Linked DNA regions of Mus musculus: region 1 is reported to be linked to region 2. The links are microRNA targets in miRTarBase. Many come from high-throughput screens and were not tested one by one. Region 2 holds a microRNA gene; the other region holds the end of a gene's coding sequence.
What was found. The annotated mature microRNA mmu-miR-433-3p reads AUCAUGAUGGGCUCCUCGGUGU and lies in region 2 at 2,554-2,575, opposite strand. An mRNA with a match to its seed (bases 2 to 7 or 8) in the 3' UTR can be bound and repressed. Matches are read on the target gene's strand: a 7mer-m8 pairs with bases 2 to 8, a 7mer-A1 pairs with bases 2 to 7 and ends in A, and an 8mer does both.

Region 1: miRTarBase lists Slc16a7 as a target of mmu-miR-433-3p. Seed matches in the 3' UTR shown: 7mer-A1 at 363-369, 7mer-m8 at 374-380 and 7mer-A1 at 745-751.

The regions. Positions count from the first base shown.
Region 1 is chr10:125,224,704-125,228,349 of GRCm38, reverse strand. Slc16a7 (solute carrier family 16 (monocarboxylic acid transporters), member 7) reads left to right here. Exons shown (of 6, transcript NM_001358915.1): 6 at 61-3,646. The coding sequence ends at 338. Among named protein-coding and RNA genes, the nearest start is that of Gm46205, 65 kb to the right of the region's middle.
Region 2 is chr12:109,590,582-109,594,355 of GRCm38, reverse strand. Mir433 (microRNA 433) reads right to left here and starts at 2,641; the gene lies at 2,518-2,641. It overlaps Rtl1 (retrotransposon Gaglike 1), which reads left to right. Exons shown (of 2, transcript NM_184109.2): 2 at 1-3,774. It overlaps 6430411K18Rik (RIKEN cDNA 6430411K18 gen), which reads right to left and starts at 2,819. Exons shown (of 1, transcript NR_002848.3): 1 at 1,505-2,819. Mir127 (microRNA 127) reads right to left here and starts at 1,510; the gene lies at 1,441-1,510.

The sequences.
Region 1 (3,646 bases), not on the chromosome of region 2:
TCCGCGAGACCACCTCATCACCTTATCATGCCTTCTTAAAGGGTGTTCTTTGTTTCACAGGTAAATTGCTTGATATAACTGGAGAATATAAATACCTGTACATAGCCAGCGGAACAGTCGTGTTAGTATCAGGTACTTACCTCCTGATTGGCAATGCTATAAACTATAGACTTCTCGACAAGGAAAGGAAGAGAGAGAAGGCAAAGAAGAAGAAGTCAGCTTCACACGCGTCCAGAGAAATGGAGGCCCTGAACAGATCTAAACAGGACGAAGTTACTGTCAAAGCTTCAAACGCACACAATCCTCCCTCAGACAGGGACAAAGAGAGTAATATTTAACAAGTCTCATCGCCGAATCAGTGTTCATGAATTTAATCATGAGTTTCTTTGTGTGTGTGTGTGTGTTTTTTTCCAAAGAATTGCAAAGGATTTTAGCTGCAACAAAAACATCGCAAACAGTAACAAAACTGGCATCTTCCTCAATGCCATAGTATAAATTCATGCTTTAACATTTGTTGGGATGGTCAACTCTTGAGATGGTGCACGTAGAAAACCCACGCACTTGCTCATCTGCGCACCTGAGTTGTGATGAAAACAACTAATTTTTTAAATCTTCCACCGATTTTTACTTTTAGCTGCAGAATTAGATCTGCATTCCAGACCTTGGCTCACCTAAGCACAATTCAACATTAATTTCACAAAATGACTCTCTTGAAGGTTCATTTTTTTTTCATTTGATATTAAGTCATGAAGTGAATTGAGGACAATCATTTTTTTCTTTTCAACACACAAAGAATTACACATGTATCTACGAAAACACTGAGTATCGGGAGATCATAAAGAAATAAATGGATTTGAAAAAATTATTATCATAGTCATTCTTAAGTCAAAGGAAAACTCTGGGAAGCAGGAATATGTTATATTTGCGTACAGTTTTGCAGTGTGGATTAAAATTAACTGTACGGTGGAAAAAAAATCAGTGTTATTAGCTCAAAGAAGGCTAAAGGGAAAAAAATCTACATGGATAAGTTTGGTTAAAAACAAAACAGAACTAGTTTTTCACCATCAATCTGCCATACTTGTGCCAGTTTAATCTGCACACCTGTCTACACAGTTTCTTTGAGAGGTCACAATTAGGGCTGGGTGCTAGACAATAGAACCCCTCCATTAATTTCCAGAATTCATATCTAACACATAACTTGATTTAAAATGCAGAGACACTGAAAAATCGGATGAATCCATGCTTTAGAAGCCTGCTAAGCAATGATGTACATCTTTCGATGACTTTTTAAAATGGGGGCTTAATGCAGATTTAATGGGGTGCTGAACTATCCAAGCCAAATAAATGAGAAGAGCTGACATATTCAAGTAGACTAGATTCTGTTTTTCCCTCCAGCACAAAGTAGTGACATAAGCTTGATCTCATGAGTAATTCATAGGTGTGGAACTGACAAGACCAGGGGTCATTCCTGAGCCCTGCTAACAGGGACTTATAATTTATAATTCTTTACTACAATAAGCAAAAGCAAAAACCAAACCCAGACCTTGAATTCCATCCCAGAAGACATCTCTTGTTATACAAGGAGGGGAAACACTTGAAAATTCCGCCCTCTACTGATTGGACTACCCACGACTGAGAATAGAACAGAAAAGCTGGAGTGTGTCCCCAGGACACTTCTGGCAACATAAGCTGTGGGGACTGACAGACATGTAGTTTATAACACAGTAGCAACATGGCAGAGAATTGTTGTTCAGGGTACTTTAGGAGTTTGCTCATTTTCCAAACCTAAAGTGTCTAGAAATCAATCTCATTCTTACAACACTCTTTGAGAGGTCTGTGACCTCCTATTGTGTACATAACAGCTAAAACTAAATATTATATGTCTCATGTCTTGTTTTATTTTCTGATAAATAGGGAGAATTTTGTGCTTTATTATTGAAGTCACTTTTACAATGTCTCTTCTTCTTCTTCTTCTTCTTCTTCTTCTTCTTCTTTTTCTTCTTCTTCCTCTCCTCCTCCTCCTCCTTCTTCTTTTCCTTCTTCTTCTTCTCCTCCTCCTCCTCCTCTTCCCTCCTTCTCCTTTCCTTTCAATAGAAGTGGGTGCTATTCTTATTTCTTAGGATCTATTTAGACACCACATTTTCAGGGTATTGTTAAAGTTTTGATTTGCCCATAACAATTATACACTACTTCATACAGGTGATTTTATAGGTTCATATTTAGGGAGCAAAGTAAGATTTGGATTTTCTTCATTTTTCAATTTTTCAATTTTCAATTGCTTTCTTGAATATGAAGTTTCTAATTTTCAGCTATTCAATAAAAACAAGATGTGCCAATATTGTAGAGAAATTAAGCAGGGCAATATGTGGCTCGATATGAATTTAAAGAAAAGTTAGCCCCACCCAGTCTTTTTTTTTTTTATAGTCCTGGCTGTCCTGGAACTCACTTTGTAGACTAGGCTGGCCTCAAACTCAGAAATCTGCCTGCCTTTGCCTCCAGAATGCTGGGACTAAAGGCATGCGATGCCACCACGCCCGGCTTCTGAATTACCTTCTTTATATGATTCCTACCTTCGTGTTCACTCCTGTGTGTCCAAAGAAGTCATCCTAGTCAACCATAAATGCTTCTGATAAGAATTTCTTGCACTCTTTGAAAATACCTTTAGAAACTAATATAGCTATCAGACAACAGGAGGAGAGAGGCAGAAAGGCAGTAAGCTTGGGAACTGTAGTCGAAGTCCCTGTGGACCACCACCAGTGTGAGGAGATGCTGTCAGTAGACTCCAGCGCCTGCCTTTCTCCCTGGGAAGTGATGTCACATGCTGATGCATCAAATCAAAACCAAAATGTACTCCTCTCCTTGCTTTTCAGTCATCTTGATTTGCTTAATTTGTCTTGGTCATTGCATTGATATTTTTTAAGAGGGTGGAAAGATTGTAAAGCACACAATCTGTTGTGTAGAGTCATGCTACAAACATGACATGATAAGTGTGTACATCTGTAATGAATAGGTCCTAGGTTAAGCCGTGTCTCACTCGAATCAGCAACAAAACCATAATAGAAAAGAATCCATTTGTTTGCTTGTATTTGTCCACTGCACCTGTTGAAATATTTGCTGCTTTAATGAAGCCTTTCAAAGACCGAGGAAAGACTACTGACCTAACGTGTGTGTCCCTAATTACCCAAGTAGAGGGGAAAAAAAAACCAAACCTGGTTTGCAACTTTAATACTGAATACCTCCCTGCCACCAAGGAACAACAGATTTTAGATGTTTAAGATAAGAAACTAGCTTGGTACCATTAAAATGCCCACTATGTCCTACTGATCACTTCAAAGTTAAAGGAACTAGAGTACTCACAAGTTACAATCAGTAGCTAGCTTACATATTTTGTCATTTGTTGTTAAACATCCCATATTTTTTGCTATTTAACTATTATCACCCATAGACAGATAAATGGGTATGAACTTGTCTTGGCCTAGTCATTTCAGCTTCTTTTTGAAGAGGCAATGGGCTAGATAGTAACAGTAAAGATATGATGTTTTTAGTGTAAATTCACATGGCTCACAGACTTCCCCTTTCTGTTCTGTTCCAACCATCTTCCCTCACAGGGTCACATGCTCCACCCAGACAGCAGGAAATAAGTAAA
Region 2 (3,774 bases):
GTTCAAACCAGTCAAGTGATATTTCAAACCAGGAAGGGTCGGAACCACTCAGTGAGGCATCCGATTATAGCATGGATGAAACAATCAACTCATCCGAGACCCAGTCAGACCAAGATGATACTGACCTGGGAGATGACGAGGAAGAGGAGGAAGAGGAAGGTGGTGAAGAGGAAGGTCAGCCCAAGAACTCTCCAGAAGAAGTCGTGGCCACCATGGGGAACGTCATCTCGCTGTTCCTCCGGATGCAAGACCTAAAAGAACAACAGAGAGTGGCAGAAAGGCTCATGATGCAGGCTATCAACGAAGGTCGCCTGCCCTCCCTCAGGCCCTTCTCTGGAGATCGCAGAGACTACCATGAGTTTGTCGTGCTCTGCCAGATGACAATGCAGAACTACCCAAGTATGCTATACAATGATGAGCTGCGGGTGAAATTCGTCATCCGCCACCTGACTGACCTAGCCTTGGAATGGGCCAACGACCTCGTAGAGCAGAACAGCCCAGTGATAAACAACTTCTCAGCCTTCCTGGAGGCCATGTCAGAAAAGTTTGAGTATCGGCAGACCCTGCGTGTGGCGGAAGACGCCATGTTCAACATCAGGCAGGGGAACCGCTGTGCGGCCGATTACATCAATGAGTTCCGGGGTCTGATACCCACCTTAGGCTGGCCAGATGAAGTCCTGCAGGCCCACCTGTGCCAGGGGCTCAACGAAGAGATCAGGCACTATCTGTTCCGGATCCCTCAGCCGAATTCCCTAGACAACCTGATTGTACTTGTCCTGCAACTTGAAGAAAAGCTGGCAGAGAGAAGAGCATTACTCAGGCTGCCACCTGAGTCGCGCCCAAGAAGCGTAGCCTGGATGGATGCTCCCGCCCCAGAGAAGTGGAGGGTAAGCAGCTGGCTGCCCAATGAGTTCCACCCAGACATTGATCGCGATCACCTCTTCTTACTGCTCTTGGTGAGAGTGGACCCCTACCACAGTGTCGCAGTGCGGGCCCTGGTGGACTCAGGAGCAGAAGGGAACTACATGGATGAGAGGTTTGCCCAGGAACACTATGTGGAACTCTATGAGAAGCCTTATCCACAGATAATCCAAGGTGTGGATGGCATCCCAATTGGCAATGAACCCGTCTGGCTGTGCACCGAGCCCCTGGTATGTGTCCACCAGAAGCATTATGAGTACATCGAATTTGACATCTTACCTTCGCCCAACTTCTCCATCGTCTTAGGCATGAAGTGGCTCCGAACCCATGCCCCTGAAGTCGACTGGATGAGAGGCCGGTGTACCTTCCACTCTCCCTACTGTCTGCGGAATTGCTTCACCCCACCTCCACCATGCATCGCACTAGAGACATACAGCATAAGCCTACTGCCCGGATTGCCACACACATACTCAGACCTGGCCGACGTGTTTAACCCGAGGGAGGCAGATGATGAGACTTCCGACCAGCCAAGCTCAGACGGATCCGATGATCTTTCTGAATCAGAGCCCTCTGAGCTTCAGCAGGCTGGAGACAGTGATCAAAGCGGCGTCTTTTACGAGTCTGGGGCCCGAGAGACTTTGGAACCTGTGAGCGCCAGGATGCAAGAGAAAGCCAGGCAGCAAGAGAAAGCCAGGGAGCAAGAGGAATACTGGATACTGTATGACATGCTGACTGACAGACAAGACTACACGCAGATGGTACCAGAGCTATTCGACCAGCTACATGGAGCGGCATGGTTCACAAAACTGGAGCTGCTTGGGATTAAGGAAAGTGAGATGAGGCACACGGTCACACACACGGAAGACACTTGGAGAGCATCGTTCGGTTTCGGCCTTCACCAGATGAGATGCTACCGGCCCTTCACAATGAACTCATACTCTGACGAAGGGAACAACATTGTTCACTTCATCCTAAAAGACATCCTAGGGTTGTTTGTGATTTGCCATGGCAGAGAGGTCCTGGTCTACTCAATGAGCCAGGAGGAACACTCCCAGCATGTCCGCCAAGTCCTGGTCCGCTTTCGGTATCACAACATCTACTGTTCACTGGACAAAACTCAGTTCCATCGCCAGACCGCTGAAATCTTGGGCTTCAACATATCCCCCAAAGGGGTGAAACTGAACAAGAACCTTATGAACCTCATCGTGGGGTGCCCTGTCCCTGGCAGCAGGAGGTGTCTTCAAAGTGTGATTGACCTTGTCTATCCCTATCGCCACTTCGTGGAGAACTTCGCTGTCATCGCAGCACCCCTAGTGAGACAACTGCTGAGTTCAGAGCCCTACTACTGGGGAGAAGAGGAGCAGGAGGCCTTGGAATCCCTGAAGAGGGCTTTCCGCAAGTCGCCCGTTCTCTATCACCCTAAGCCTCAGAACCCATTCTACTTGGAAACAGACATCACTGGGTCATTCCTGTCTGCCTCCCTGGTCCAAACCGACGACGAAACTGGCAAGAAATCTACCTGTGCTTTCTATTCAAGACCCCTCTCTACAATGGAGGTGGAGTACCCTCGAGTGGAGATGAGGATCCTTCCAATCCGGGCTGCCTTCATGGTGTGGTGCCGCTACCTGGAGAACACCGAGGAGCCCATCATGATCCTTCTCAACACAGAGGATCTAGCCTCTCTGAATAATGACAGGCTCACCGTACTTCTCCCCGGGCATTGGGTCTTCTTCTTCTCACACTTCAATTTTGGTGTTATGGAGATGCCAGCTGAAGGTGACACACAAGCACTCTTCCGCAGATGTTGGAACCAGAGAGGCTTCAGAGCAAGGTTTCTGCGCCCACTGCTGCTTATGTCCATTAGGGCAAATCTAAGGTACTTTGACAGATCCTCTGAGACTGAGGATAAAGAGGATGATGAAGAAGAGGAGGAGGAAGATGGTGAAGAAGAAGAAGGGGAGGAGGAGGAAGATGGTGAAGAAGAAGAAGGGGAGGAGGAGGAAGATGGTGAAGAAGAAGAGGAGGAGGAGGAAGATGATGAAGAAGAAGAAGGGGAGGAGGAGGAAGATGGTGAAGAAGAAGAAGGGGAGGAGGAGGAAGATGGTGAAGAAGAAGAAGGGGAGGAGGAGGAAGATGGTGAAGAAGAAGAAGGGGAGGAGGAGGGAGAGGAGGAGGAAGAAGGAGAGGAGGAAGAGGAGGAAGAAGAGGATGAGGAGGAAGAGGAGGAGGAAGAGGAAGAGGAGGAAGAAGAGGAGGAAGAAGAGGAGGAGGAGGAAGAGGAGGAAGAAGAGGAGGAGGAAGATGAGGAAGAAGAGGATGAGGAGGAAGAAGATGAGGAGGTGCCCAGCATGGTGCGGGAGCTACTGGCTGCCATCCCGATGGACCATATCCTCAATGGCTTACTGGCTCACTTCAGTGTGGCCCAGATCCGGGCCGTTGTCCTAAACTTCTTCCGTGGCCTGCTCTACTGGAAGAGTCTCCTGGGTGTGGCAGCTGTCCTGGTGATGTTGAGAGCAAGGCAGCCCCTCTCCCCAGTGCCTGCCCCTAATTTGGAAGTGGCCAGGCCTCAGCACCGGCACACACTCCGACTCATCCTGGACTCGACCCTCATTGCGAGTAGTGGCATGGCCACAGCCATCGCTCAGTTGCTCAGCCAGATGCCCCCTCTAGTGGGTGCCAACACCCTCCCAGCTCGAGAGCTGGCTGAGCTTTTCCTGGGCCCAAGGTGCTGGCATCGGAATGCTCTGCATTCCCAGCCTCCACGGGGGATGCGCTTCACCCCTGGGTTCTGGTTGACCCTGTGTGAGTTCTTTGGGGTCAGAGTCAACCCTGAGGATGACGTCTTTCCTGACC